Linked DNA regions of Pelodiscus sinensis. The protein of the gene in region 1 binds, or shares a complex with, the protein of each later gene. Links are inferred from orthologs where the notes say so. Each region holds a gene or a part of one and is shown in the gene's direction. Other genes may lie near its edges. The genes, in order: SMARCC1, SMARCD1, PHF10 and ACTL6B.

Evidence for each region.
Region 2: SMARCC1 (region 1) and SMARCD1 share a complex: the UniProt entries of both Homo sapiens proteins name them as parts of the BAF complex. The link is inferred for Pelodiscus sinensis from reciprocal best matches to the Homo sapiens genes SMARCC1 and SMARCD1.
Region 3: SMARCC1 (region 1) and PHF10 share a complex: the UniProt entries of both Homo sapiens proteins name them as parts of the neural progenitors-specific chromatin remodeling complex. The link is inferred for Pelodiscus sinensis from reciprocal best matches to the Homo sapiens genes SMARCC1 and PHF10.
Region 4: SMARCC1 (region 1) and ACTL6B share a complex: the UniProt entries of both Homo sapiens proteins name them as parts of the BAF complex. The link is inferred for Pelodiscus sinensis from reciprocal best matches to the Homo sapiens genes SMARCC1 and ACTL6B.

What each region holds. Positions count from the first base shown.
Region 1 is NC_134712.1:256,776,555-256,783,458, reverse strand, and holds the start of SMARCC1 (SWI/SNF complex subunit SMARCC1), read left to right. Parts: upstream 1-3,904; 5' UTR 3,905-3,920; coding exon 3,921-4,160; intron 4,161-6,904. UniProt on the Homo sapiens protein: Involved in transcriptional activation and repression of select genes by chromatin remodeling (alteration of DNA-nucleosome topology).
Region 2 is NC_134729.1:6,453,502-6,460,961, reverse strand, and holds the start of SMARCD1 (SWI/SNF-related matrix-associated actin-dependent regulator of chromatin subfamily D member 1), read left to right. Parts: upstream 1-4,449; 5' UTR 4,450-4,488; coding exon 4,489-4,644; intron 4,645-5,774; coding exon 5,775-5,962; intron 5,963-7,387; coding exon 7,388-7,430; intron 7,431-7,460. UniProt on the Homo sapiens protein: Involved in transcriptional activation and repression of select genes by chromatin remodeling (alteration of DNA-nucleosome topology).
Region 3 is NC_134713.1:121,613,169-121,621,049, reverse strand, and holds the start of PHF10 (PHD finger protein 10), read left to right. Parts: upstream 1-4,872; 5' UTR 4,873-4,957; coding exon 4,958-5,026; intron 5,027-7,881. UniProt on the Homo sapiens protein: Involved in transcription activity regulation by chromatin remodeling. Belongs to the neural progenitors-specific chromatin remodeling complex (npBAF complex) and is required for the proliferation of neural progenitors.
Region 4 is NC_134734.1:9,007,171-9,014,155, forward strand, and holds the start of ACTL6B (actin-like protein 6B), read left to right. Parts: upstream 1-3,982; 5' UTR 3,983-4,112; intron 4,113-4,145; exon of another isoform or gene 4,146-4,765; coding exon of another isoform or gene 4,766-4,781; intron 4,782-4,787; exon of another isoform or gene 4,788-5,113; intron 5,114-5,471; exon of another isoform or gene 5,472-5,545; 5' UTR 5,546-5,671; coding exon 5,672-5,696; intron 5,697-6,161; coding exon 6,162-6,238; intron 6,239-6,618; coding exon 6,619-6,784; intron 6,785-6,985. Other genes in the region: GNB2 (guanine nucleotide-binding protein G(I)/G(S)/G(T) subunit beta-2), read right to left, coding at 222-288, 445-607, 960-1,023, 1,390-1,496, 1,607-1,645, 1,893-1,949. UniProt on the Homo sapiens protein: Involved in transcriptional activation and repression of select genes by chromatin remodeling (alteration of DNA-nucleosome topology).

The sequences.
Region 1 (6,904 bases):
ACACTGTGTGAAGAACTTTCTTTTATTAGTTTTAAACTTGCTAACTATTAATTTCATTTGGTGTCCTCTAGTTCTTCTATTATGGGAACTAATAAATAACTTTTCTTTATTTACCCTCTCCACACCACTCATGATTTTATATACCTCCATCATATCCCCCTTAGTCTCCTCTTTTCTAAACTGAAAAGTCCCAGTCGCTTTAACCTCTCTTCATATGGGAAGCTATTGGAATCAAAAGCTTCAGTGGTACAGGCAGTCCCCGACTTACGCGGATCCGACTTATGTCGGATCCGCAGTTACGAACGGGGCTGCCCCAGAGTACACAGACTGCGGGACCTCGCGGTCCTGCCGCCCGTGTACTCTGGGGCTTTGCTCTGCGTCTCCCTGGTCTGCAGACCAGGAAGACGCAGAGCAAAGCCGCGGAGGGGCTCGGGCAGCGGGGCAGCCCCGCTGCCCGAGGCCCCCCCCCCCCACCCGCGCGGCTTTGCAAAGCGCGGGGAAGCCGGCGGAGGGGCAGTCCAGGCACGCCTGGGGTGCCTCGCTGCCGGAGCCCCCCCCCCCCCCCCCCGCGGCTTTGCAAAGCCGCGGGGAAGCCGGCGGCGGGGCAGTCCAGGCGCGCCTGGGTTGCCTCGCTGCCCGAGCCCCCCCGCGGCTTTGCAAAGCCGCGGGGGGGGGGGCTCGGGCAGCGAGGCACCCCAGGCGCGCCTGGACTGCCCCGCCGCCAGCTTCCCCGCGCTTTGCAAAGCCGCGGGGGGGGGGGGGGCGCCTCGGGCAGCGGGGCATCCCAGGCGCGCCTGGGCTGCTCCGCTGCCGGCGTCCTCAGAGGCGCTCCCCGTCTCCCTGGTCTGCTGGTCTCCAGCAGACCAGGGAGACGGGGAGCAAAGCCGCGGAGGACCCAGGCGGCGGGACGCGCAGCATCTCGGTCCGCCGCCCGAGTCTTCCTGGTCTGCTGGGGTGGGGGGGGCGCAGCTAGTACGCCCCCCCCCCCCCCCCCAGCAGACTAGGCTTTTCTCCGGACGCCTGTGGCAGAGCAGCTGGGGTGCTGCCGGTTGGTCCCGCAGCGCCGCTCTGGGTGCTACTGGTGCAACCCAGCAGCACCCCAGCTGCTCTGGTCCTGATTCAGCCGCTGCTGGTCAGTTTCAGCAGCGGCTGAATCAGGACACCTGGGGCAGAGCAGATGGGGTGCTGCTGGGTTGCTCCAGTAGTGCCGAGGAGCGGCGCTACTGGAGCAACCCAGCAGCACCCCAGCTGCTCTGCCCCAGGCGTCCCCAAGTCAGCTTCTGCTGAAACTGACCAGCGCTGACTACAGGAAGCCTGAGGCAGAGTTGCTCTGCCCCAGGCTTCCTGGAATCAGCTGCTGATCAGTTTCAGCAGCAGCTAACTTGGGGACGCTTGGGGTTCTTAAATTGATTCTGTATGTAAGTCAGAACTGGCGGTCAGTTTCAGCAGCGGCTGAATCTGGACACCAGTTCCGACTTACATACAGATTCAACTTAAGAACAAACCTACAGTCCCTATCTTGTACGTAACCCGGGGACTGCCTGTATTTGAAAAAGACAACTGGGGGCCAACTTGCCTTCTGCCTCTCAGGGAAATGAAGTACAGAAGTCAAGGGGAGTGCTCTTTTATTGACTTAGTTTGTTTTCACCAAATCTGCTGAACTGACATCAAATCTGGCATCAATCACAGCAGTGCCAATTTAGCAGCAACTATAGACAAGCTAAATGTAGAATGAATGATGAGAATGAACGAGTGAAAAGTTAAGACCCTAGTATTCGGCATAATGGATGGTCTGAATAGGAGAAGCAGACCCCACAGACAATGAGTAGATGATATAGTAGATTGCGGTGGAGCTAGTCTACAGAAACTAAGCCACTTTGCACTGGACAGGGAAAGATGGAAGGAAATAGTGAAGGAGGCATCGCACATCAACAGGCACTGAGCCCATGGTTGATGATGATGATAGACAAGCCACAAGTTACTACAAAGAGTTCTTTCCCAGATAGCTGCCTGGTGGATCTTGCCCACATTCTCAGAGGCAAACTGATCACTGTATTTGGGGTCAGGAAGGAATATTTCCCTGGGTCAGATTGGAGCAAGTTTGGTGGTTTTTGCCTTCCTCTACACTGTAGTCTACAGCATACAGCATGGGTCACTTGCAGGTTTAAACTAGCATAACTGATGGATTCTCTGTAACTTGAAATCTTTAAACTATACTTTAAGGACGTCAGTAGCTCAGCCAGCAAGCACACCAGTGGGTGGTTAAGAATCCATGGCCTGCAGGAGGATCAGAGTAGAATGATCACAATAATCCCATCTGACCTCAGAGCAACAATTCCCAAATGTTTTTTGGTCATGCTCCCTTCCTTGGTCCATTATTCCCTTTGAGCTGTGGCCAGGAGGGTGGTGGGTGCTGCAGTTGGAGCCACAGCTAAGGACTGGCTGGGAACAGAGTGGGAGTGGAGCAGAGGGCCAGGCTGGGTGGTGCTCCCTGAGCACTGTCCCACCTGCAAAGTTCCTCTGGGCCCCCTTAAAGGGTCATGCCATGGAGTTTGGGGACCACTGCCTTACACTCAATGAAACTGGACACCAGCAGTGGAGGAGAGTCAGTCCAGAGAGGAACCATGGGGGGGGGGGAGGGGAGGGAGAGCAGGACTCTGACCTGAGCAGAGATGATTCAGCCTGGTTGGGTGTGACCTAGTGGGGGCGCTGTCTACTTTTGTCATCCTCTGTTTCTGCTGGGCTGCATTGGTTAGGTGTGATTCCCAGGGCTCACTCCAGATGTGTATTGGGCCCAGACACCTGGGGAGCCAGACTCGGAAGATAACAACTCTTAAGGACATCGGTGGGGGCTGACACCAGGCTGGGAACTAGGCCTGGGAGTTGGGTCAGCCTCAGCTGGGCTAGGATGAGTGTGGGGGCTTACAGCAGGGAAGGGGGGTGCAGGGCCCAGGACCCCCCCCTCCCCCCGAGGAAAAAGGCTGTTTGCCCTCCATGCCGGTGGTAACATCGAGCCTGTGCTACGTTCCTGACAATCAATAAACCCTTGTACTGTACCAGCTGGCTGGGAGTCACATCTGGCCGTGGGTGGGGGTGCAGGGTCAGGACCCCCCCCCGTGGTGGGGGAGAGCAGGGCCCCGCCCTGAGCAGAGAGGGTTGGGCAGGGAGGCTGGGATTAGGGGAGCGGTCAGGACAGGGAGCGTGAGGGACAGACGAGTCTGGGCCAGGCCTAGAACCCAGCAGCCCCCCCCCCCCCCCCCCCCCCCCCCCCGCTTCCTGGCCAGGATAACAACCTTGCGGCGCTCTCAGCACAGGAGCGAGCGGCCTGCGGTCGGAGCCGACGCCGTGGCTGGCGCGCGCGGGCGGCCTCTGAGGAGAGCGGAACGCAGCGCCAGGCGGGCGTCGCGCGCCCTCGCGAGGCGGGAAAAGCGACGCGGGAGCCACTGCGGGCACGAGCGCAGGCGCAGCGACGGCTGGAAGAGACGCTGGGCGGCGAAGCGACAACGAGGCTGGCAGCCCCCCCCCCGGCCATGGAAATTCAAGCCACACTCTCCCCACCAGCGTCCACGCGCCGCATGCGCAAAGCGCGGCACGAGCGGCTTGGCCCACTAAGCGCATGCGTACAGACTTAGTGCGGTGCGGCCCGTGCCGGGCGGTTGAGATTTGACGCATGCGTGCACAGCAGGGTTGGGGGGAGGGGCGTGCGGTCTGCCTGGACCTCACGAGCGAAGAGAAAAGTGGGAGTCTGGCGCATGCGCAGAGCTAGCGGGCTCGTGTGGCGCGTGCGTTGAGCGCGGCCCAGGGTGCCGACGCAGGAGCGGTGGCGCCCGGGGAGAACCGGCGCGTGCACAGCGGTGGCGGGGGCAGGGAGCGGGGTTCCCGAGCATGCTCCAAGGGGCGGAGCGTGCGGGGCTCGGCGCATGCGCGGCGGGAGGCGAGTGGGAGGCGCAGGGCCGCGGTGGCGGCGCTCGGCGAGGGTAACAATGGCAGCGGCAGTGACGGCAGGCGGCGGGCCCGGCCCCGGCGCGGCGGCGGGGCTGGCGGCGCTGTCCGTGGCGCGGCGGAAGGACGGCGGCCCCACGGGCAAGTTCTGGGAGAGCCCGGAGACGGTGTCCCAGCTGGACGCGGTGCGGGTCTGGCTGGGGAAGCACTACAAGAAGGTGCGGCCCGGCCGCGGGGACTGGGGCGCTGGGGGGCGGGGCGGCCCGTGGGGCGCTGAGGGGGGCGGGGAAGCGCCAGAGGAATGGGGGGGTAGAGGAAGGGGCGGCCCGGCCCGCGGGGACTGGGGCGCTGGGGGGCGGGGCAGGGGGCGCTGAGGGGGGCGGGGAAGCGCCAGAGGAATGGGGTTAGGGGGTGAGGAAGGGGCGGCCCGGCCCGCGGGGACTGGGGCGCTGAGGGGGCGGGGAAGCGCCAGAGGAATGGGGGGGGGTGGAGGAAGGGGCGGCCCGGCCCGCGGGGACTGGGGCGCTGGGGGGCGGGGCGCTGAGGGCGGCCCGTGGGGCGCTGAGGGGGGCGGGGAAGCGCCAGAAGAATGGGGGGGGGTGGAGGAAGGGGCGGCCCGGCCCGCGGGGACTGGGGCGCTGAGGGGCGCGGGGCGGGGCGGCCCGTGGGGAAGCGCCAGAGGAATGGGGGGGGGGGTGAGGAAGGGGCGGCCCGGCCCGCGGGGACTGGGGCGCTGAGGGGCGGGGCGGCCCGTGGGGAAGCGCCAGAGGAATGGGGTTAGGGGGTGAGGAAGGGGCGGCCCGGCCCGCGAGGCGCTGAGGGGGGCAACCCGAGGGAAGCGCTCCAGGAAGGGGCGGCGGGGCGCCCCAGCTAGGCCGGGAGCGGTCACAAAGGGCCAGGCGCTCCTTTGCGGGGGGGGGGGGGGGGCGGCTTACCGGCCAACGGGCGGGTCCCGGGTAACGGGGCCGTTTCCCAGGCTGCGCGGCTCCGACCCTTCCCCCCCCCCCCCCCCCCCCCCCCGGACTGGAAGTCTCCAAAATCAGTTCGAGCCGGTTGCGCGACTTCAGGGCGAGCCCCCCCGCCCCCCCCCCGCATCTGGGTCTTCGCCGCGGTGTGTGCGCGCAGCTGTGGGCACGTGCGCCGCGGGCTGGCCTGTCACCGGGCACTCGCGGGGCCCCAGCCCAACGAGGGGCGGTTGTGCCGAGCGTCGTCACACACTGGCGAGAAACGGGGGGGGGGGGGTTAAGTTGCCCCCTTTAAAAAAAAAAAAAACCTGCATTGCTGATGCGTTTGAGTTTAGGTGCTTGTGCGGCCTAAGTGACTGTAGTATCCGAATATCTTCATACACTCCTATGGGAGGAGGAGGTGAGGTGCTGTTAACCCATTTTACAGATGAGGATTGACTCAGAATCACTTGCCCAAGGCCTTGCAGAGAGTCTGTGATAGAGTAGGGAACTGAACCCAGGTTTCCTGGCTAATACTCTAACAGTCTGGATCATCCTTCTTTTCTATAATCTTATGGGGTTCAGGGCTCTGTTTCCTAAATCTAAAAGAACAAGAACTGAAAAGTTTGCTCAGTGATCACTTTTGTGAGGAATGTGGCTTCATTTGCATTCAGACTTCTGCTGGTTTGACTAATGGTGTTTAAGTCAGTGTATTTAAACCAGAGCAACCCCCCTGTGTAGCTTTATTTTATTTTGAGTGACTAATATTGATTTGGGTGAAGCAGATTCCTTATGGAATCTTTGAAACCAAAATAAAATTGTCTACACAGGATTTTGCTCTGGTTTAACAAAATTGTTTTTAAACTGATTTGTAATGCCAGTATAGCTTTTTGATTATATATCTTTGTGGCTAGTATTTTTGTAAAGTCAAACTCCTGCAATTTAAATAAAAACATTTGCAAATGCCTGCTAAAATGTAATTTAAACATGCTAATCAGATTCTTTTTAAATAAAGTTTTAAACGCTTAATTATGTCTCTTGGTTTTGTTATGCTTTTCCCTTTTCCTTTCTTACTCCAGGTCTTTGTCTATAATAGCATGTAAAGTTTTAACTTGTCCTTGCATTATCTTTTCCAGTGTCTCTTTTTTCACCCCATGTTTTTCCATTCATTTCATTCTCTATCTTATTTTCTTTTTACTTCTCTCTATATTAAAAGTTGCAGAGGGGTACCATGTAGTTAGTAACTTGAAACAACTTTTAAGAACAAGTAGACCTGTAGCACCTTTTGTTCATCTCTAAGGTGCCACAGGTCTACTTGGGCTTTTTTTTTTTAAGTTCTCTCCATATTGTATTTCTCTAGTTCTATCCCATCAGCTTCTCTCTCTTTCTGTGCCACATTTCATGCGGGCCATTGAAGTTTTACCAAATTCTTAGCACCAGAGGCCTTCTAGCCAAAGTCCCAGATGAGTGTTGAGGAATATTATCTAGGATGTAGCCCAAATAAGCAATCACATATTTCTCCATCCTTCACCCAAGCTGCTGGGAAAGGGAATTAAGTGTGAGGTTCCTCCAGGATTTCTGGGTCCTGGAAGAAAGGAGCATTCTCTCACTCAGTTCTCCAAGATTTCCAGATCAGAGTCCCTAGCTATTGTGAGAGAAGATTATTTATCCACCCACTTATAATAGCCTTAGTTTGAGTCCTCCATCCTCAGTTATCCAATTTGTGCCTGCCCCCTTGCTGTTCAGAACTTTACACAAGCAACTATCAAAGTTGATATTAACTCAGTTCTTTTTAATTTCACTGTTGTACATAAGATTCTAGATTGCAGCTATGGAAACTAGCAAGAATGTTTTTCACTCTGCTATAGTTTAAGACTCACATCAGGAGAGGCATTGGATCCATCATTGTGCAGGCTTAAGACAGTAATGCATTGATTATATGTGAAGGTAATTTTAACCATAATGGCCAGATACTTAATGATTTTCTTACATGAAAATTTAGATTCTGCAAAGTTGTT
Region 2 (7,460 bases), on another chromosome or scaffold:
AAAACTTTTGCACCCCTGCTCCAGCCCCCATACACCTTCCCAGACACTGCACCCCCTCCTACACCCCTTCTCAGGTCACAACCCCCTCTCAGACCTTGCATCCCAATCTGCTATTCCTGGTCACAGCCCAAATCCCTGCACCCCTTCCTGCACTCCAGATCACAACCCCCTCCCAGGTCCTGCACCCCCTCCTCAGCCCTCAACCACTTACCGAGTTCTTGGAGTGCCCCCCCCCATCAAAAATTATTGCCCACCCCTGTGTTAATGGCTTAAGGCAAAAAAGAAAAATATTATCTTAACGGAATGTTTTGGAATGTTGCAGATATCTAAAACTCTGATCTTAATGATTTTTTTTTAAATCCTGTGTTACTAATTAACACATGGTAAACTGAATTGCATTAAGGCCAGCTCTTTCTATCTGGTAGAGTTCCCTGCACTCCGCTCTCTCTCTCTCTCTCTCTCTCCTTCTCCTACTGCCTCCTCCTCTCTCTCTCTCAGCTCTCCTCTGCCTCCTGCCTCTCTCTCTGTCTCTCTCTTTTTCTTCTCCCCCTCCTGCCTCTCGTTCAGGGTGCGTGTGGGGTGCAGAGCCCAAACGGCCGCTTGCTCCCCCGCAGCAGTCCGGCTGAGCAGTGCAAAAGTCAGCCGAGCACCATGGTGGTAGGCAAAGGGAGGTGGGGCGGTGACATTCACGGCCAGGAGGCGGGGCCTGGAGCTGCTGTCACGCCGCACGTCACCACCTTGAGTTCTAGCAGTTGAAGACTCGGGTGTACAGGGGCAGATGACCATTTTGCAGGGCCCAGGGCAGCACAATTTTGCGGGGCCCCCCTTTGCCACCCGCCGTGGTGCTCAGCTGACTTCTGCACCACTCAGCTGGGCCGCCACGGGGGAGTGTCAGCCAATGGTCAGGGCAGTGTGTGGTGTGTGTGTTATACACCCACAGGGGCGGATACAGGGCAGGGCGAGTGGGGCGACCGCCCCGGGCTTCAAGAAGCTACGCACATGCGCTGTGGCAAAGGGGGGCCCCGCAAAATTGTGCTGCCCTGGGCCCTGCAAAATGGTCATCTGCCCCTGTACACCCGAGTCTTCAACTGCTAGAACTCAAGGTTCCTTCGCAGCAGGCGGCCTAGGGAAGGCCGATGGGTGCCCCAAAGTTTTATGTCCATGTCTTTAGCCGCTAGGACCGGGGTCCCTTCACAGCGGGCAGCCAACAGGCTGATAGATGCCCCAAAGTTTGCAGGGAGAGCTTATTATACCCGTGTCTTTAGCTGCTAGGACTAGGGGAGGGTCCCTTTGCAGCAGGCAACCTATGGAAGGCTGACAGATGCCCCTACGGATCTGTCCCCTGGAGGCAACACGATCCAAACGCCCAGCTCTCCCTCACTGTGTCTGCCCTATGACCAGCTGGAGTTCTTTTAAATTGTGCTTGGTTCTGTTACAGCAACTGCAGGAGTCAGGTTAAAGCTTAAACAGTTACAGGTGTATTAAAGAAGAGGACTGGGGTGGCTCTGCGGGCTCCTCGGGGTGGAAGCTCTCCTGCAGCCCCCCGATTGACCCCCCGCCCCCGGATGGCAGCCTGCGGCAAGTGCAGCCGGTCTGATGGCCAAGTGCTGTGATGTGCCGAGTGTGGGCATTCAGGGCACTCCAAGACAGGACTGCTTTGCTGTCCCTCATCGAGTTAGACAAGCAAGCAGGGAACCCTGAGAACTGTCTGTCCGGGGTGGGGGTTGGGTCCCTTTAAGCACAGCCCTCAGCTAGCCTGAGGCAGCAGCTCCACACCCTAAGTCCTAACCTGATGCCCTGCTGGCACTGCTTCCGGCCAGCCTTAACTTCAGTTCAGGGTCCACTCAATGTAGATATGCTGTTTTGAATTAGCAAAACGCTAATTTGAATTAGTTTTTAGGTCTAGATGCACTAATTCGAATTAACTTAGTTCGAATTAACTAATTCGAATTAAGTTAGTTCGAATTAGTGCTGTAGTGTAGACATACCCAGAGGAACAGCCAGCATTTCAGGAAATAGCGCCCCCCCAGAGGGAACAGCCAGCATTTCGGCGTTACAGACACAGACACTGGGCTACTATATATATGATAATGGCTTGTCGAGTAGACAAACTCTTTGTTATTTTGGAATAACATCAGTTGGTCCGGAATGAAGCTGCTGTGTAAACGCACCCTTTAAGGGAATGCTGCTCCCGGCCTGCTGAAAGGGCACTCTTCAGCGCCAGGCCCCAGTCTGTATGCAGGGATGGGCTTCCCGCTGCTAAGACCTGGCCTCCTCACAAAGCTGCCACACAGCCAGGAAGCAAAGAGGAAGCTGGTAGAAACTGCAGTGGGCAGTTAGGGAGACAGGAAGGAGTTTGGCCAAGGCCCCAGTGCTAATACCTTGTCTGTCATGCACAGCACCACAGGAAGCTGGCTTTATGGCCCCTCCCATGGTGCAGCCCTGTGGTCCCACTCCAGGGCAGTGTGTATGGAAACAAGCCCAGCACACCTCAGCCACAGAGGACTTCCTGCCCCTACAAAGCAGCATCACATTAGCCTCCTACTTAATTAAATGGTGCTCAGCAAATTTGCCACCGGATATTCCAGGCCTGGAGCCAATCAGATTAGAGGGTCCCAAGCGTCCCTTCAAGAGGCCCTCTGGCACTAATGGACTTTGGCTTCCTGGGGCTCCTCTCATTCAGTTAAGACTCTGCTGTGGACCTGTCCAGCTGCTCCATTACTGCCGCAGACAGAGTGGATTAGAAGCCATTATCTGCCTTGCCCCTGGGAGGTAGAAATCTGGACTGTGGAACCTGCAGGCAGCCAGCTTTGGCTGGGGCAGCGTGGGACACAAGCCCAGGGCCGGCCTGAGCCTTTTTGGTGCCCTGGGCCCAGGCGCGCAGCGCTGCCCCCGGGCACATGGCACGTGCGCAGGCCTGCCCCCCAGGGTGCCCCAGCCCATCCCTAGGGCACACAGCGCATGGAGAGCTGGGCTAGGCTCTGCTGGAAGAACTTTCTCGTAGACTCACTCACAGATGAGGGTTGGAAGAACCTAGTCCAGCCTTCTGCTCCATAAAGGTCCAGCCCCAACTACCTCATGGCCTTGCATTCCCTGTGTTTGTGTTAGGATACATTAACAGCAGGAGTGATGGTTGCTGGTGCAGCCAGGGTGCTCTGGGCATCAGTGCTTGTGGGTCCCTGTCCCTCTCCCTCCCTCATGAGCACAGCCCCCTGCCCCTTTCTACACTGCCCTCTGTTTGCCAAGCATGGCCTCCTGTTCCCCAGGCAGGCCCCTGGCACTGTCCCTCTCTGTGCCAGGTCCATCTGCTGCCAAGCTTGTGTTGGGTGAACCCACATTGGGTGGGGGTGGGACTTGAGCCCTCAGCCTCTGGCGGCAGGTACTTTATCCACTGTGCTACGGGATAGAGCCCCCAACCTCCCTACCTTCAGGGCCCCCTTTGTTCCCAGGCTGCATGTTCCATCCCTCAGACAGCTGGGGTGGCTGTCCCCAGGGAGGCAGGGCTCAAGTGCTGTACCTCTGGCTCCAGCGGCAGGTACTTATCCACTGCACCACAGGAGACGGTCCTGAACCTCCCTCCCTTCTGACCTCCCTTATCCTTTCTTTGTTACCATGGTGAGTGCTCCCCCATGCCCCTGGGGACATCCACCACCAGCTTCCCGAGGGATGGAGCTGGCATCATGGGAACAAAGGACACAGAAGGGGGGCCCTAAAAGTAGAGAGGTTGGGGGTCTCCTCCAGTGGTGCAGGGCATAACATACCTACCTGCAGAACCAGAAGCACAGGGGTCAAGCCCCCCCCCCAACACAAGCTTAGCAATGGATGGACCTGGCACCCTTGGGACATAGGACAGATATGGGGGGGGGCTCTGAAGGCCAGAAGGTTGGGGGACTCTTCCAGGGGCGCAGTGGATAAGGTGCCTGCCTCCCACAGCCCATCTGGAAGGCCTCCACACCACACTGCCCCCAGGCACAGTCTCTGCCTGCACCATTCTCCCCACCAGTGGCACAAGTACCCTTCCCCTGTGGGGTACCCAAGAGAAGCCTGAGGAGTATGTCAACACAATGGCAATTTGGAGAAAACTGAACTTTTGCTGTAAGTTTTACAGCACTTTATTGTTTTTGTACTTTTGACACCCAGAAATGTCATCACCCAGCCAGCTCCAATTAAGTTGCTTAAATAAATGTGTTGCAATGGGTAGAAAAAAATGTTGTGTCTGAAAACTGTAGGTACTGGGGGGATCTAGGTAGACAGAGGGATAGAAAAGGATACTTATAAAAAAGGCTCAGAAACACGGCTCTAGACGACACGCGGCCCCTTGCAGCTCCGGCCTCCCAGCGGCAGGGGGAGCAGCCTGCGTCCCGCGCCTCTCTCGGAGCTCTTCCCCGCGCACTCTATGGCTCCTCAGGCGCCGCTCTGCCCGGCGCGCTCTACGGTCGGGGTCCGGTTCCGGTTCCGCTCCCCTCCCCCGCTTTGTGCTGGGAGAAGATGGCGGCGCGGGCGGGTTTCCAGTCGGTGACTCCGAGCGGCGGCAGCGGGGGGGCCGGAGCGCTGGGGCCGGGCACCCCGGGGCCCCCCGTCCGCATGGGCCCGGCTCCCGGGCAAGGCCTGTACCGCTCCCCCCTGCCGGGCGCCGCCTACCCGGTAAGACGGGGGGGGGGGCTGGAGGCAGGAGTGGGGGAGGGGATAGAAGCGGGGGAGAGGGAGGGGCCGGAGATGGAGGCGGAGGAGGGATGGGGGAGGGGTCAGGAGGGGGAAGGGTTTGGGCTGGGGTGCCCCTAAGGGAACAATAGGAAGGGAGGAAGGTCCCTGAGGGTGAGTCAGGGGGTGGCCGGGCTTGGTCTTTGTCTGAAGTGGGGGCAGTAAATGGGGCGGAGGGAGGGGTCTGAGCACCCTCGTGTCTTGGGGGCATAGGAGGCCCGGTGAGTCCAGGGCTCTGGGGTGAAGGAGGATGTGGGGTGAAATGACAGCAAGCTGGGGCTCAGGGCAAGGGGAGAAAACAGCCTCAGTGCATGGTGAGGTGACTTGGCCAACTATGGGGAGGTGTATTTGAGGGTAAGGAGGAAATGTTTGGGTAAAATTGGGGGCACAACAGGGTGAGAATGTCATCAGGGATGCCCTGAGTAAGGGTGAAATAAAATACAGGACTATGTAGCACTTTAAAGACTAACAAGATGGTTTATTAGTCTTTAAAGTGCTACATAGAGTCCTGTATTTTGTTTCAGCTACACCAGACTAACACGGCTATATGTCTATCACTGAGTAAGGGTTACTCTCATTTTAAAATGTGACCCTAAAGAGAAGATTGAGTAGAAAGAGGGGAGCTAAGAGCTGAACAAGGAGAGAGGAGAGGCAGCCTAGACAAAATGAGTGAGCTGAGGCAAGGGTGAGTGTTGGAGTATCTTATGGGAATGTCAGGAGTGATGATTCACTGAGTGGAAGTGAATTGTAGGCAGGGGTTTGGACATAAGGCCTACAGTGGGGAGAGGTGTGTAAAATTAAGAATCGTCCTTCATAGCCAGCTTTGCTGGTTATGGTTTATATGTTACAATCCCGTTTATTCCTGGTTGGAAGCATCCCATTCTGGAGCTGCTAGCCCTGTTGTGATCTGAGTCCATCTAAGCAAGCCCATGAGTCACATGGCTTTGTGCTCCCAGCAGACATGGCTTGGTAGCCTACTTGTACTTAGGACTTAACAGCCCATTGTTGGTGAGTCTCCATCTTTCCAAAGTTTGGGTTGGATGGAGACCAGATCCCTGTGTTTCTCTCCTCAGCGCCCTGGCATGTTGCCAGGCAGCCGCATGACACCTCAGGGACCCTCCATGGGTCCCCCAGGATATGGTGGGAGTCCCTCAGTCCGGCCTGGAATGGCCCAGTCTGGTTTGGATCAGTCCCGCAAGAGGCCAGCTCCTCAGCAAATCCAGCAGGTCCAGCAGCAAGCGGTTCAGAATCGTAACCACAAGTAAGAGGCCAGATTTCTCACCTCATTATGAGGTTGATTTATCTTTTCTGTGACCACTTAGTGACTCCTCCTGAAGGACACCAAATTCCTTCACAAGTTCTATAATTATAATACCACCAAAATCCAGCCCTCTCTAAAGCAGAAGGCTGGAACAAACCAATTAACAGCACATTGCTGAATAGTTATTCAAAGTCAGGCAGATTTTGTCCAAAACACCAGTGCATCCACCCCACCGACCCTTACAAAAGTGCTAGGGAGACTCTCAATATCCATGTCAAGCAGACATAATCTAAGGTGGTTCAGAAAGAAAAATGCTCACGAGGAAAGCAGTATCTAAATTGAAATAGGCCACTTATGAACCTCCAGAAAATAGGGATCAAATCATACATTTTTGTCCATCATATCCAAAGAAACCCCTTTGGATGCTAGTGGGCCACATTACAAAAATGGACTGGCCAATATTCAGTAATTCGTATGCTTACCACTGATATCAGAGATCAGCACATTGCTTTGTTGTTTGGGTCATAACATCTGGGACTTCTGTGTGAGTATGTCTACACTCGCACCCTCTTTCAAGAGAGGGATATAAATGCAGCTGAGCAAAATAACCCTTATTCCTCCTACAACGAGGTTTACCAGTTATTTCGGAAGAAGGTTTTTCTTTCTAAATAACCGCGTCTACACAGCTTTTGTTGTTTTGAAATAGCACCATAACATTAATATGCAAATGAAGTGTGGGAAATTCACAGTGCTTCATTTGCAATTTTGCTCAGGTGCATTTGCATCCCTCTCTCAACAGAGGGTGCAAGTGTAGACATATTCTGTGTCCCTTGCTCCCAGCATACTCATGGACTTTCTTCTTTAATTGTTTTGGCTCAAACTGACTTAAACTTTTTGTGCAGCTACTTCGCTGGGTGATGGGAGCTTCAGATAATAATATTTTGCTCCTATTCAAGAGCAAGAGTTTTTATTACTTAACATATCAACAGTATTGCCTGGCTTAAAATACTTATCTGTTAAAAAATCCAGCTTAATATTTAATCAAACCCGAGAGTCATTTTGTGCCAAAATAAATATTTAACCGAACACCTCTCCAAACTCAGGGCAACCCCAGCTATCTATATCTGTTGGGATACTTCAAATAATAGGTGGTCTTGGTCTTGCAGGAGCTTCTGAGCTTCAGTCCTGCTTTGGCCTTGGGGAGGAAGGGATGGGTAAGGAAGGTGTCTGTATAGAGACTGATAGTCACAATAAACAGTCTTTGAAAGAGAGAACTGGACTGAGCCAGTTGTTATGGAGCAAGTACCCTCATAGCGGAGTCCCAAGACTGAGAATAAACCCACACCTGTGCTTCTTTTCTTGTGTTCTGGCTGTTTGAGAAACAAACTGGTTGCCCGCTTAATACATGTATCCTTCTTTAAACAGCGCTAAGAAAAAGAAAATGGCTGACAAGATTCTACCTCAGAGGGTGAGTGAGGGTTTTTATTCATGCTTCCTC
Region 3 (7,881 bases), on another chromosome or scaffold:
GCCCCAAAGCCAGCCCCCACCATGCACTCACCCCTCCTCCCCCAGAGCAAGGCACCCCCAGTGCTGGGAGCACTCCCCCAGTCAAATCCCCCCCCCCCCCCCCCGGAGAGCCAGGCACCGGAGGAACTTACCATTAAAACCACTGCTCCTCCCACCCAGCTTAGCTGCTTCAGCTCACAGTATGTAGAGAGCTGGCAGCACTTAGCCAGCAGCTCCTGGGTCTGGTTGAAAGCGTTACGTGGGCCAGAGCAGTGTGAGCTCTGGTCCCACCCCAGCCCGGTGCCCCCCTAGCATGATGCCCGGGGGCAACCGTCCCCCTTCCTCCCCACTTTGCTACACCTCTGCTGGGGACCTTGGCAAACTTGGAGGGCTGGAGTGGGGTCCGAGATGGCTGGGGGGGTCAGCGGAGGGGGCATAGGCATGGCAGGGGGAGCTAGAGTGGGAAAAGGGGCTAGAGTGGGGAGGGCTACAATGGGAACAGGAGCCAAGTGTGCCATCACTTCCCGGATGGAGGTACACAAGTTTTTGCCCTGCTGCACAAGCTGGTCCCACATTCAGTTGTACCACTTGGCTTCATCCCAGACCTTTTGGGCCAGGGTTCATTGCATGTCACGCAGGATGGCCACGTGTTCCCTCATGAGGTCCTCATGGACCCTCCTGCACTTGCAACTCCAGCGGGATCGGGCAGCTGCCTCTGATGGCATGGAGCACCCCTCAGTGATGGCTAGTCCAGCTGTGGAGGAAAAGAGGGAGAGGTGGTCAGTCATCCAAGCAGACACTGTGCATGAGGCCATGCCCTCCTGTGTGAGCAGAGACTAACAGTCCTTGGGCCAGAGGACGGTGATGTCTCGTGAGCCAGGCCATGTGTGGCCTTCACTGCAGGACGAGCCCCAGGGACCACGCTTCCCACCACCCCACTCCATCTTCACAGACAAGCTGGCAAGGGAAGTGTCCAGCAACAGTGGGATCCCATGGGCGGGAGAGGGGCCTGGAGCAGCCTGGCCTTCCATGGGGGCTGCATACACAGCTGACCTGGCAGTGCCATCCACAAGAGCAGATGGTTCCTTGAGCATGCAAGCATGGTCGTGTGCTGTATGTGGCACCCCTCAAAGTGCTCAGGGTTGTGCCTGTGCCTGTGCCCGTGTGCTCAGTCTGCTTCCAGCAGTGTCTGGTGGTGGGAGGGAGTTCCCCATTGGTCAGACGTGTGTGGGTCCTCCACACAGCCTGTGAGCACGAGACCATGGGTGCTCCAGGGCTAGCTTCTGAGGCCATGTGGTACACACTGCCGCTGCATGTGCTTGCACGTGCACAGAGTGAAGCACACTGCCCAGGCTGAGCGACGATCGCTCCTCATCCCCTCTGCACCTCCCTCTCCTGCCCTGGTATGTGTGTAAAACTGAGCACTCACCTGATGATCCCTCCCCGTCATCAGAGGATACCTGGGAGATGTCCAGGGCTTGGGGTACTGGCTCCAGGGTGAGGGTGATTGTACTGGCTGTGTCCTCTTCATCCTGCAGCTGCTGTTTGTCCTCCTCCTCATCAAGGAGCTCCGGCTAGATGTCAGCAGATGGTCAGGGCAGTGTGTGTGTGTGTGTTACACCCGAGTCTTCAACTGCTGGCACACAAGACCCCGTCGCAGTGGGCAGTCTAGGAGAGACTGACGGGCGCCCCGAGGAGTTTAACATCTGTGTCTTAGTCTGCTAGGATTGGGATCCCTTCGTGGAGGTCAACCAACAGGCTGACAGATGCCCCAGAGTTTATAGGAAGAGCTTATTACATCTCAGATTTTAACTGCTAAGATACAGGATCCCTTCGCAGCGGGCAGCCTAGGGAAGGCTGAGAGATGCCCCTACGGATCTGTCCCCTGGAAGCAACACGATCCAAATGCCCCAGCTCTTCCTATATCTGTCCCTTATGACCGGCTGAAGTTCTTTTAAATTGTGCTTGGTTCTGTTACAGCAACTGAAGGAGTCAGGTTAAACCTTAAACAGTTAGACTGTGTCTAGACTGGCCAGTGTTTCCAGAAAATCAGCTGCTTTTCCGGAAAAACTTGCCAGCTGTCTACACTGACCGCTTGAATTTCCACAAAAGCACTGACTTCCTACTGTAAGAAATCAGTGCTTTTTGCGGAAATACTATGCTGCTCCCATTCAGGCAAAAGTCCCTTTGGTGCAAAACTTTTGCACAAAAGGGCCAGTGTAGACAGCTGAGATTTGTTTTCTGTAAAAAAGCCCTGATTGCAAAAATGGCCATCGGGGCTTTTTTGCGGAAAAGCGTGTCTAGATTGGCCACGGACGCTTTTCCGCAAAAAGTGCTTTTGCGGAAAAGCATCTGTGCCAATCTAGACGCTCTGTTCCGAAAATGCTTTTAATGGAAAACTTTTCCGTTAAAAGCATTTCCGGAAAATCGTGCCAGTCTAGACGTAGCCATAGGGGCCCGTATCTTCTTTCTTATCTAAGATGCCAAATTGTGTTGGCCTGTCTTTGTGACGCCAGTTCCTACAAGGGAGTTTCAACTTAATTTACACTTGCAAGAGAGATAACTAAATTGTGAGTACTGGACATTTTTTTACTGGGCGGGAGATTCCTGCCCCCTGGACAGTGTGTGTTCGTATCAATATAGGTTTCAGTCACGGGCACTCCTCGGCAGCCTCTTGGTCAGCAATTAGCGTATCTCTGTTTACAGCCATCCAGGGTCACAGCAGCCTGCATATTCGGGCCTTCTGTCCAAGGCTTTCAAAGACTATGCTGTTTTACTGGTCTGTGTGCCCTGCATGCTTCCAGGCCAGCAAAGATGGATGTTACAGGGTGGTTCCTGTCTGGCTACACTAGGTGACCACAGGTGTCTTGAGTCCTGAGTCCACCATTATGGGTGGGCAAAGGGCTTCACCATCCCCCAGGATTCTGTGCAGCTCCTTGTAATTTGGACATGTGTGAGGTCCTACTCCAGAGCAAGAGCTGTGCTCCCTGTCTCTGGCATATCCTTGGCGCAGCTTCCTTGACCTTGCTCCTGACTTGGTCCAAAGTGTGGGGGTGGTGTCCCCTCTTGGCTAGAGCCATCTGGCCATATATGTCAGCATTCTGCTTCTGGGAGTGGGGATCCTGCAGGATGGCCTCCTCCCCCCACAACTTGAGGAGGGACAGGATTTCTGCCCCAGACCAGGAGGGTGCGTAGCATTTGTTGCCCTATGCTGGGCCTTGGGAGCCCTGATGCTGCTCCCTGTGAGGGCTATAGGGATCTTGGGGGGCTTGTTGCTCTGCCATACCTCCCAGTGTGTGGCAGACAGAGCCGTGCGATAAGGGTGCTGCTCCATGGCCAGCTTCCTGCCACAAGGCTTGGCCCAGGTGTCTGCAGCTTTAAGAGCTGGCACGAGACAGGAACTATAGAGTTGTGATTAGTATGGATGGAGTGTCCACCTGGGCCTATGTTATTTCCTGGAGACCTTTTCTTTCAAAAGAAATGCCCCCTCTTCATCAACACATGCCTTTTTCCGAAACAGCTCTTTCGGAAAAGGTGTTCTTCCTCGTAGAAAGAGGAGTACCGCTGTTGGAAAAACCTCTCTGTTCTTTCAATTTACTTTAGAAAGAATACGATTGCAGTGTGGACGTAACTTAAGTTTTGTTGAATCCTAGCATGCAAAAATTATCGGATTAGACAGCGATAAACCACACATGCAAATTGTGCATCAGAGTCATAAAACTGGCTACAAATGCATTAAAAACAAGTCAAAAGCTTAACAAATGGAGACTGTGCCAAAATGCTCCTCACTTGAGGCACCGCCTGGGCTTGGTCTGGCTCTACCTGGGGGTCTCCTCTACCACTTCTTGGGCTGACAGCTGTAGCCCCTTGTCATAGGACTGAGCAGTTAGGGTTGACAACAATTTATATGTAAAGTTAACTAACCCTCGCTGGTGTTCTGGCAAAAGAACTCTCCATGGCTATGTCTAGACTGCAGGCTTCTTTCGAAAGAGGCTCTTTCGAAAGCATCTTTCGAAAGAGCCTCTTTTGAAAGAGAGCGTCTAGACTGCACGGAGAAATTTCAAAAAAGCGGCTTGCTTTTTCGAAAGAAAGCATCCAGTGAGTCTGGATGCTCTCTTTTGAAGAAGCCCTATTTACATTGAAGAACGCCTTCTTTCGAAAGAGGAACTTTCGAAAGAAGGCGTTCTTCCTCGTGAAATGAGGTTTACCGCCATCGAAAGAAAAGCCGCGTTCTTTCGAATTAATTTAGAAAGAACGCGGCTTGAGTCTGGACGCAGGGGAAGTTTTTTCGAAAAAAGGCTACTTTTTTCGAAAAAACCCCTGAGTCTGGACACAGCCCATGAGAAAGGGAGAACCTGTGCATGAAAAAACAAAAACCAAACCCTGACATTGGTAGGGTTGCCAGGTGTCCGGTTTTGAACGGGACAGTCCAGTATTTGAGTTTTCTGTTCAGAAAACAAATGGAGAAAATAGAAATGTCGGGTATTTTCTAAATCAGCTGTAATGCAGATTGTGATGGAATGTCAAGCGTGTCTGGTATTTTTGTTGAAACCATCTGGCAAGCCTGGACATTGGAGCGTTGTGGCAGACCAGGAGTGAGGGGTCTTTTACTTAGAAATTGTGTCTGGTGATACAGTCTCAGGGCTTGGCCTTAGGGCTGAGACTGGTTTAACACCCCCCCCCCCAGTAAAGGCCGCTGGGGATCCGCCGGGAGAGGCTAATTAGAAAGCGGGAGTGAGAGAGAAAAGGGGCGCAGGCACTGGGGGGTGCGCAGGCACGTGGGGAAGGCCCTGGTGGGCGGGGCCGCGGGGAAGGGGGCGCAGGCACACGGGGGAGGGCCGAGGGGAGGTGACTCCGAGAGGGGGGTGTCGGGTGGGCGGGGCGCACTGCGGGTCCGGCCAGCAGGGGGCGGGGCGGGCGCGACGCCGGGGACGCTGCGGCTCCTCGCCCCGCCCAGCGGAGGGAGCGGGCGGCGGCTATGGCGGCGGTTCTGTCCCCGCGGGTCTGTGACAGCGACCCGGCCACGCCCGGGGCCCAGTCCCTGAAGGTGAGAGAGGCGGGCCGGGCTGGCAGCCCCTCCCCCTGCGCGGCGGGATTCTCCCGGGAGCGCGCGGGGGGAATCAGACCAACCCTCCCCCCCCCGTGTTATGGGGGAAGTGACCGGGCGGGAGCCAGCCCGTAGCGCAGCTACCTCCCGCCCGGCCTGTTCCCATCGCCCCCCCCCCGGCCCACAGAGACCCCAGCCCCGTAGGGAGCCGTGGCCCGGGGGTGGGATAGGGAGCCCTGGATGCCTCTTCCCGCGAACGGGCTACAGCTCCTCAGCCTTCTCGCCAGAAGGGCTAAGCCCGGGCAAAGGAGATACAGCTCCCGGGGCTCCTCCAGGGTTGGCTTCCTGGCCTGGAAGTTGACCAGTTTCTAGGTTTGGGACTGGCCAATCTCGCAGGAAGCTGAAAGCCGCCCCCGTGGGCCAGAGATGAGCAGTGGCTAGTATCTTTGCAACGGGTCTTTCCAGTGATGTGCAGCTGTTTCCTGCATCTCCCCTTCCTTCAGATTCAGAGGTGACCTTAGCAAATGCTGTCTGAAAGTATCTTGGATAACTCAAGCTTGCAAGTGGTCTAAAAAGGCCTAATAATAATACAGAGTACTTTTATTCAGTACCTAGGAGGTTAAATATCATCTCATTTATACAGATGGAGAAACAAAAGTGCACAGAAGGTGGACTGGTCATACAGGGAGTGCATGGAAGAACTGAGAATAGAGTATTAGATTTAAGTCCAAAAAGGATCATTTTGGTTAAGACTGATAAATTTAGTTTAATCAACTAATCGAATAGTCTATGCAATTTTCAGCAGCTATTCAGTTAGGGTACATCTACACTTGCTCCCTAGTTCGAACTAGGGATGCAAATGTAGGTGACCAAAATTGCTAATGAAGCGGGGATTTAAATATCCTGCGCTTCATTAGCATGATCTGGCTGGCACGTTAACTCCGCTCAACAGCTGATTAGACCCAGGAAGTGCGTGCCAGAACGCGTTCGAACCAAACCCCTTGGTTTGAATTAACGTTACTCCTCGTGCACTTCCTGGTTCGAATCAGCTGTTGAGCAGAGTAACATGCTGGCAAGATCATGCTAATGAAGTGCAGGACATTTAAATCCCCGCTTCATTAGCAATTTTGGTCACCTACATTTGCATCCCTAGTTCGAACTAGGGAGCAAGTGTAGATGTACCCTCAGTCAATAAGGGCACCTTTGCCTTTGAAATGTAGCAAGAGCCCTGATGGCTCTTGCTATGTTTCAAAGTCAGAAGTGCTGTGGGAGCAGAGGGCAAGCAGGGGACACAAGCAGTCCCCTGCTGGCCTGCAATTCCTGATTTTGAAATGTGCAAGAGCCTCCCCTCACCTGGGGCTCTTGTACATTTCAAAAGCAAAGCGTGTGTGGGGGAGTCAAGCAGACTGAGGAGGGCATTTGTACATTTCAAAAGTAGGAAGCACAGGGCTGACTGCTTGAGGTCCCCCCTCCCTTGCCCTCTACTCCCACAGTGCTGCTTCTTTTGAAATGTAGCAAGAACCCTGCACCAGTTCTCCACTGTGCTCTCCTTGCCCTGCCCCCTGTGCTGGGAGGAACTGGCTTTTAAGCCAGTTCCTCCCAGCGCTGGCTCCTGCTCTTCCTCCTCCCCTTCTTGCTGCCTCTCTCTAATAGAGACAGCGGGCGGAGGGGTGCTACTAGTCAAGTCACTAGTCGACTATCCAATATGCTTATTGGATAGTCAACTAATCACTTACATCTCTAATTTTGATCATTGGTTTGATTTGATCTGTGTATCCTAGCTCCTTTTTTCCCAAGTCTAATAGCTATGGTTGAACTAGACCAGGCATGTCCAAAGTCCGGCCCGCGGGCCAATTGCGGCCCGTATTCCGGTTTAATACGGCCCCCGCTTCCTCCCCCTCTCCTGGCTCCCCGGCGCTCTTTGGAACTGGCGCACCCAGCGCGCCGCTTCTGGCCGCACCGCCGCCGCCGCCGCCCATGGCCTCCGCGGTCCTAGAGCCTGCCCTGTAGGGCACGTCCGCAGCCCCGCTCCCCCGCTCGGCTGCGGGTTCGCCCTGCCCCCGGGCCGCCGTGAGGCCGGCGTGCCCTGCGCTCTCCGCCCGCCTCCGACCCCGCGGGCCCTCCACCTTGGGGCTGAGAGTGCAGGGATGGCCCTCACGCATGTTCACTTCTTCAAATCTGGCCCTCTTTGAAAAAAGTTTGGAAACCCCTGAACTAGACCATCTCCTCTGGAAAAAATCTTGTGTTATGAGCTGGATGAAAATTTGTTTTGGGTTGAGTTAAAACTGTATTGAAATTGATAAGTGTAAATTCATCCTTCAGTTAACATAACTCTAAGAGCATATACTGCTAACTAAGACAAAGTGAGTCTTTGCCCACGATAGCTTATGCTCCAATACATCTGTTAGTAAGGTGCCACAGGACTCCTTGTTCCTTTTGCTAAATAAGAGAAAAGGAGTGTGTGAATGGGCCCAGGAGCTTTTGCTGAGTATTGAGGAGGGTGTGTGTATCTGTGTGTGTGTGTGTGTCTGGAAGCATGGTGGCTGACCTGAAGAAACTAGGGGCAGTTTTTGTGTTGAGGTGTGGCATGAAAAGAATGCCCTTGGTGGTGTGAGCAAAAGAAGCTGTTTCTTGTTTTATTTCTTCTGTATCTAGAGAAACAGGATGTTTGTGTAGTTTTTTTTAAATAAACAAGACTGCATCAAGTAAATATCTTTCACTAATTTCTACTCTCATTTTGAACACCACAGGCTTTGGCAGAAAAAGAGCAATACTAATATTAAAGTTTCTAGTGATAGCTGATTATCTGCACTTAATTTTGCACTTCATTTATAGTCTGAATTTGTCTATCTTAT
Region 4 (6,985 bases), on another chromosome or scaffold:
CAGCTGACTCCATGGTCGGTCCCACTGATCCTGCCTGCCAGCTGCAATCCATCCCTACCCTCTTGCCCACCCACTGGCCCCACCTACTCCAGCCTCTCCCTTGGGCACCTCCACAGACCCAGCCTTCCCTTATCCTTTCCCCCCAAGCTGTGGTTCTGGGGAGCTGATTCCTCTACACACCCCCCCAAGCACAGGGGCCTGAAGAAGGGGAAGAGGCTCACCAGGTGGTGTCCCCGGAGCTGGTGATGATTTGATTGTCATCGAGGAAGCGGCAGCAGGAGAGGTAACCTTCCGGGGGGGACAGCAAGATGCTGATTAGCTGGGAGCCGGGGTACTGGCAGGAGCGCATATCCAGGAATCTGGGTTCCCAGCCCCCACGCTGTAACCACCAGACCCCTGTTCCCTCCCCGAGGGAGGAGTAAATCCTAGCAGTCGAGGGCTCACCCGTGTGCCCTGGCAGTTCTCGGCTGACACGGACGTTCCCCTCCCGGGTTTTCAGGCTGTAGATGGAACAGATGTTATCCAGGCCCCCGCAGGCCACATAGTTCCCTGATGGGGCATAAGCGCAAGTCATGACCCAGGACGAACGCAGTGGGATGGCGTGGACCTGGGGAAAAGGAGAAATTACTCTACCTACCCAGGTATGAAGCCAAATGTCCCCTTCCCTAGCCCATCTAAGCCAGTATCCAGCCTGCTGCCACTTCCAGGCTCATCTACCCTGCTATCCTGGGGGTACCCCCCCAACCTCTCTTCCTCAGTATCCCACCTGCTGTCTCTCCCCCCTCTACCCTGGGACCCATCTAAATCTACACCTGCTTCCTCCCCCCTCCCCCACCCAGAGGCCCTTTACCCTGGTATCCTCCCTGCCAAATCCATTCAGCCCATCTATTCCAGTATCCTGTCAGCTGCCCCCTTCCTGGGACCCTTTACCCCAGTATCTCACCAGTCAACTCCCTCACCTTGTTCGTGGTGTAACTGTCCCAGATGATGAGTTTCCCGTCCTGCGATGCACTGACCAGCAGCCTAAGAGGCAGAGAGCCCTCTGATGAGCCAGAGTGGCACTGCGCTGTGGGTGGTGGCTCAAAATACTCCCATTATTTGCTATCAGCCCTTCCCCTGCCTTGCCCCTCCCAGTAACTAGGCCAAGGCCAATCAAAACCAAAGCGACCCCCCCCCCCCCCCCCCAGGCCAATGGAGAAAATGATCCTCCTCTCCTGGCCACGAACACTGAGCCAGGTTCCCTCTCTAACCAGATGCTCTGCCCCAGAGGTGGCTGCATCTCAGCCTGAGAGAGAGGTCCCTGTATAACTAGATGCCCTGCCCTAGAGGTGGCCACATCAGAGTGCTAGGTGAAGGATGCCCATATAGCTCGCTCATCCCAGCTCTCACCTGGAGTCAGTGCCCCAGTGCATGGCATAGATTTTCGCCAGGTGGCCTCGCAGGGTGCGTCGTGTCCGCATCTGGATACGTCCCACAGGGTCCATCCCGGCTGTGATCTAGGGGAGGGGCGGACAGGTGAGGCATGGACCCGCACCCAGCCAGGGAACCTGGAGGCAGGGGAAAGGGGCTGCATGGGGATGCCAGTAACAGGCCCAACACTGCTCACCTGGCTCAGAGTGGAGTCACCACATGCCTTCCTCGCATCCTGGGGGGGGGAGGGAGACCTTGGGTTAAAATCTGAACTGCCCAATACCCCCCTTGCTTTAACCCTACTCCCAGAGCCAGGGACAGAACTCGGGTGTCGACTCCTAGTGCCCCCATGTGGACAGCAGGAAGCGCTACCCCCCCCCCAAAAAAACAGTAGCCATAAAGACCCCCATGGGGGAGAAGTCTGGCAGCCAGGACTCCTGGGTTCAGCATTGGGGGCTCCAACCCCCATGGGCTCCACACACCCGGATCTGGTTCCGCAGCTGCTCTGCCTCCTGCCGAAGCTGCTCCAGCTCACTCATGGCTGTGGTGGGGGGGCAGCGCTGGCGCCACGGCTCCGCTCAGCTGGCGGGAACCTGCACAGAGGAGGAATGCTTAGTGGGATATGGGGCCCCTAGACCTGCTGTGGAGAGTTCTGGCTCCCAGCCCTACCAGGCCCAACCCAGTCCCCATTCCCCTCCCAGAGCCAGGGAAGAGAACTCAGGAGCTCTGGCTCCCAAGCATTATTTTTCCCATTCTCTTGGCCAGTCATGGGGCCAGAGTGGCTGAGGGGGGGCAGGTGTCTGGCACTGCGGATTCTCTGTGTTCCTTCCAGTGTGTTACAGCATCTGGGGGGCGGGGGGGGGGGGCGCTGAGGACAATCAGTAGTTGCTGTGGTGATGGGAGAGGCTTAGCCCCAGCTCCCTTCAACTGATGGTTGCCAAGGCAACAGGATAGGAGACTCAGACAAGATTTAGGATGGAGCAAAAATGGGGGGCAGGGAACAGGATAGCAGGGTGCTCCCACCAGCCACTGACTGGCTGGGAGGCAGGCAGTGGGTGAGTGTGGCCCGGGGCATAGCAGATTGTCCGAACTGGGCATAACTGCTGATCCCATTTGCTTCCGTAAGAAATTCCACAGCCAGTAAATGCCCCCCAGGGCAATGGCACTATCCTGGACTCCTGGGTCCCCGGCCCGGAAGGGGGGGGAAGGGCTGGGAGCCCCGGACTCCTGGGTCCCCGGCCCGGAAGGGGGGGGGAAGGGCCGGCAGCCCCGGACTCCTGGGTCCCCGGCCCGGAAGGGGGGGGAAGGGCCGGCAGCCCCGGACTCCTGGGTCCCCGGCCCGGAAGGGGGGGGGAAGGGCCGGCAGCCCCGGACTCCTGGGTCCCCGGCCCGGAAGGGGGGGGGGGGGGGGAGGGCCGGCAGCCCCGGACTCCTGGGTCCCCGGCCCGGAAGGGGGGGGGGGGGGGAGGGCCGGCAGCCCCGGACTCCTGGGTCCCCGGCCCGGAAGGGGGGGGAAGGGCCGGCAGCCCCGGACTCCTGGGTCCCCGGCCCGGAAGGGGGGGGGGAAGGGCCGGCAGCCCCGGACTCCTGGGTCCCCGGCCCGGAAGGGGGGGGGGGAAGGGCCGGCAGCCCCGGACTCCTGGGTCCCCGGCCCGGAAGGGGGGGGGGGAAGGGCCGGCAGCCCCGGACTCCTGGGTCCCCGGCCCGGAAGGGGGGGGGGGAAGGGCCGGCAGCCCCGGACTCCTGGGTCCCCGGCCCGGAAGGGGGGGGGGGAAGGGCCGGGAGCCCCGGACTCCTGGGTCCCCGGCCCGGAAGGGGGGGGGGAGGGGCCGGCAGCCCCGGACTCCTGGGTCCCCGGCCCGGAAGGGGGGGGGGGAAGGGCCGGCAGCCCCGGACTCCTGGGTCCCCGGCCCGGAAGGGGGGGGGGGAAGGGCCGGCAGCCCCGGACTCCTGGGTCCCCGGCCCGGAAGGGGGGGGGGGGAAGGGCCGGCAGCCCCGGAATCCTGGGTCCCCGGCCCGGAAGGGGGGGGGGGGGGAAGGGCCGGCAGCCCCGGACTCCTGGGTCCCCGGCCCGGAAGGGGGGGGGGGAAGGGCCGGCAGCCCCGGACTCCTGGGTCCCCGGCCCGGAAGGGGGGGGGGGAAGGGCCGGGAGCCCCGGACTCCTGGGTCCCCGGCCCGGAAGGGGGGGGAAGGGCCGGCAGCCCCGGACTCCTGGGTTCTCTCCCCAGCAGGGGGGCTGTTTTCCCGGTGCGGGGCTGCGAGGGGGGAAGCGCAGCGTGGGCAGCTCTCCGGGCCGCAGCTGGGACGGGAGCCTGGGCCCGCTCGTGACTGCGCCCAGCCCCTGCCGATCTGACAGCTGGGGCCCCCTTCTCCTCCCTCCTACCTGGCGCAGCCTGCTTCTGGGGGGCCGGGGACTCCTTTCCGCGGCCGCTCCCCTGGGCGGAAGGATCCGGATCGGGCTCCGCTTCGGCCCTCAGCGGCGGAGCGATCCGCCCCCCCCCGCCTGCTAGCCCCGGTGATGCGGCTGCGGGCGGCCGCGCCCAGAGCCCGAGACGCACCAAATGAAAGGGGCGGGGGAGGAATGAGGGAGAAACCATCTACCATATAGAGGGGTGCTATGGAATGGGAGATACCAACCCACTTCCTGGTCCACCGGGTGAGACCACCTTCCATATGAGGGGTGCTATGGATTCGTTTCTGTGGTGAGAGTGAATTCATCCTTTAATGGGCTAAACCAATTCACTTCCCAGCCTAGGGAGGTTGTGGGATCTGGAGATATTTAAGAGCAGGTTGGACAGACGCTTGTCAGGGACGGTCTAGAATGGTGCTGGGTCCTGCCACGAGGGTAGGGAACTGGTCTTTTCCAGTTCTAGTGTTCTCTGATTACATTCTATGAGTGTGAGACCATTTACTATAGGGAGGGGGCGGTCAGAGGTGGAAGAAACCAATGCACTTCAAGGGGGGAGGTGAGACTACCCACTGTATTTAGAAGGGGGCTAACAATAGGATACACCAAATCGATTCCGGGGTGACGTGAGACCGATGCTCCAATGAGGAAAAGGAGAAAATGACCCATACCAACTCTCTAGGGAGACCCGTCAGAGCACCCCCCCCCCCAAGTAGGAACGGGAGATACCAACTCTCTCTGAGAAGGGGCAGGCAGGGTTCAGTCCTGGATGGGTGGAGAACAAGCAGGGGAGGTTGCTCATTTCCTGGGGGGCGGAGGAGGGAGGGAGACAACTCAGCTTCTGGGGGGGGGGGGAGGAGGGAGAGAGGAAATAAAGATGGGAGATACCAGGACAGGGCGAGACCAACTAATGAAAGCAGAGGGGAGAGATGAGTTGTACCAACCCTGATGTTCTCTGCAATGGGTCAGTCAAACTAGGAAGGGGGAATCAACTCGCAGTCCCCCCTGCTCTAACCCACCTGCCTCCCAGAGAACCCAGGAGTCCTGACTCCCAGCCCCCGCCCCTGCCCTGACCCATCAGCCCCCACTCTCCTCCCAGCAAACCCAGGCGTCCGGGCTGCCAGCCTCCCTTGCTCTAACCACTAACCCAGGAGTCCTGACTCTCAGCCCTCCCCTCCCCTCTGATCCACCAGCCCCCACTCCCCTCCTAGAACCAGGAGCGAACCCAGGAGTCCTGACTCTGAACCCCTCCTGAATTCCTGTACATCCTAGTTCAGGATCTGTCCCCTCCTCTAGGTGAATTTTGCTGTTTTGGAACAACCCAGGGCATGGAATTGCAGAGTGGGGGGAGGTTGAAAGGGGCTGGCTAGAGGAGGTGGGAGCATGTATGGTTGGATGAAGAGGGGCAGGGATGGATGTTTGGATAATAATTTTTGGAGAGGTACCTGGAGTAATTAAATAGAATGTGGGATCTGGTGGGTTAGAGTGGGGTGGAGGGCTGGGAGCCAGGACTCCTGGGTTCTCTCCCTGACTCTGGGAGGGGAATAATGCTTGCTACTTGAGAACTAACCCCCTCCCCAGACACTAATCACCTACCTGCCTCTTTAAGAAAACCCCAGATTATCACTTATTGTCTATTTTGTTAACCAATCAGGAGCTGCCTCGGTTGGGGGGGTGCAGCCTGTGATTGGCTGAGGTGGAAGCTCCCCTCTACGTCTCTCTCTATAGCCCCCCTCCCCTCCACGGTCGCTGTCCAGTCGCCTGGGTGCTGAATAGCCCCCTGCACCCAGCCTCCCCTACATCCCGGACCTCCCTCAAGGATCTGTACGGGGCAGGGGGCGTAGCAGAGCCAGGATGAGTGGGGGTGTCTATGGAGGAGGTAAGGGATCCTCTTTAAGGCTGCCCCCCTTTTTTCTTCACAGCATTGGCACGTGACCCACAGGGGGTGCTCTGCTGCAGGGAGGGGCTAGAGTCAGCAGGGGGTACTCTCCCCTTGGAATCAGGGCTGGCCCCTTTTCTTGGCGCATGAACATTAGCATCTGAGCAAATTCCAGATCCAGACATTGTCTGTTGGAGCGGGGATTGTCTGTGCCTCTGTGCAGCATTGCAGAGTGGTCAGTGCACCACCCCGGCAGTTGGCACATCTCAGTGCCAAGCAAGGGGTCCCTGTGTAACCAGCCACCCCGCTCCAGAGGTAGCTGCATCTCAGCTCTGAGTGAAGGGTCCCTGGATAACCAGATACACTGTCCCAGAGGTGGCCACATCTCAGTGCTGGGCGAGGGGTCCTTGTCCCAGAGGTGGCTGCATAGGTGATTGGTAGTGACTGTTTCTATCTCTCTCCCAGATGAGGTTGGAGCTCTTGTTTTTGACATCGGCTCATTTTCAGTGCGAGCTGGTTATGCTGGAGAAGACTGCCCAAAGGTACATCCAGGCATTCCTGGAACCCCCCTCAACTTTCCCCTATGACCGCGATGTCCAACATGTTAGCCACTAGCCACATGTGGCTAATTTGGCTGGTTGAGTGTGGTATGTGGCTTGAGCAATGTGACTATTTGGCTGGTTGAGTGTGGCTAGTTGTCTATAGCAGTAGCCCGTATAGTGCTTCAGAACTGGTTGGACACCACGGCCCTATGAAACCCTCCTATTCTGGGGTTGGATGGGAACCAGCGCCCCCTAGAGGAGACAAGCCCCATACTCCATTCCCTGCCCCCTTGAGCCAGCCAGTCCCTTGCCCTGGAGCCGGGTGGGAGCCGGTGCCCGTAGAGACAAGCCCTGCATGTCACCCTCTTGCCCCATTGCAGGCAGATTTCCCCACCACAGTGGGACTTTTGGCCCCGGAAGAGGCGGCGCTGGAGCTGGATGGGGAGAAGGAGAAGAAGCCAGGGAAGGTTTATTACATCGATACCAACTCGCTGCATGTCCCGCGGGAGAACACAGAAGTCCTGTCGCCCCTCAAGAATGGCATGAGTGAGGCTTGGGCTCCCGGGACTCCTCCCCTCCTACATGGGACAACCTGCTTTGCCCCAGCCACAGGGCCCCCCAGCCATGGCCCCTCAACCAGTGTCCCCACCAGATTCCCATGGCATTTTCCCCACACCCCCTGCTATGCACTGCCATGGTCCCTCCATCTGACCCACTGCTATGCCCATGCTGCAGACCCATCATACC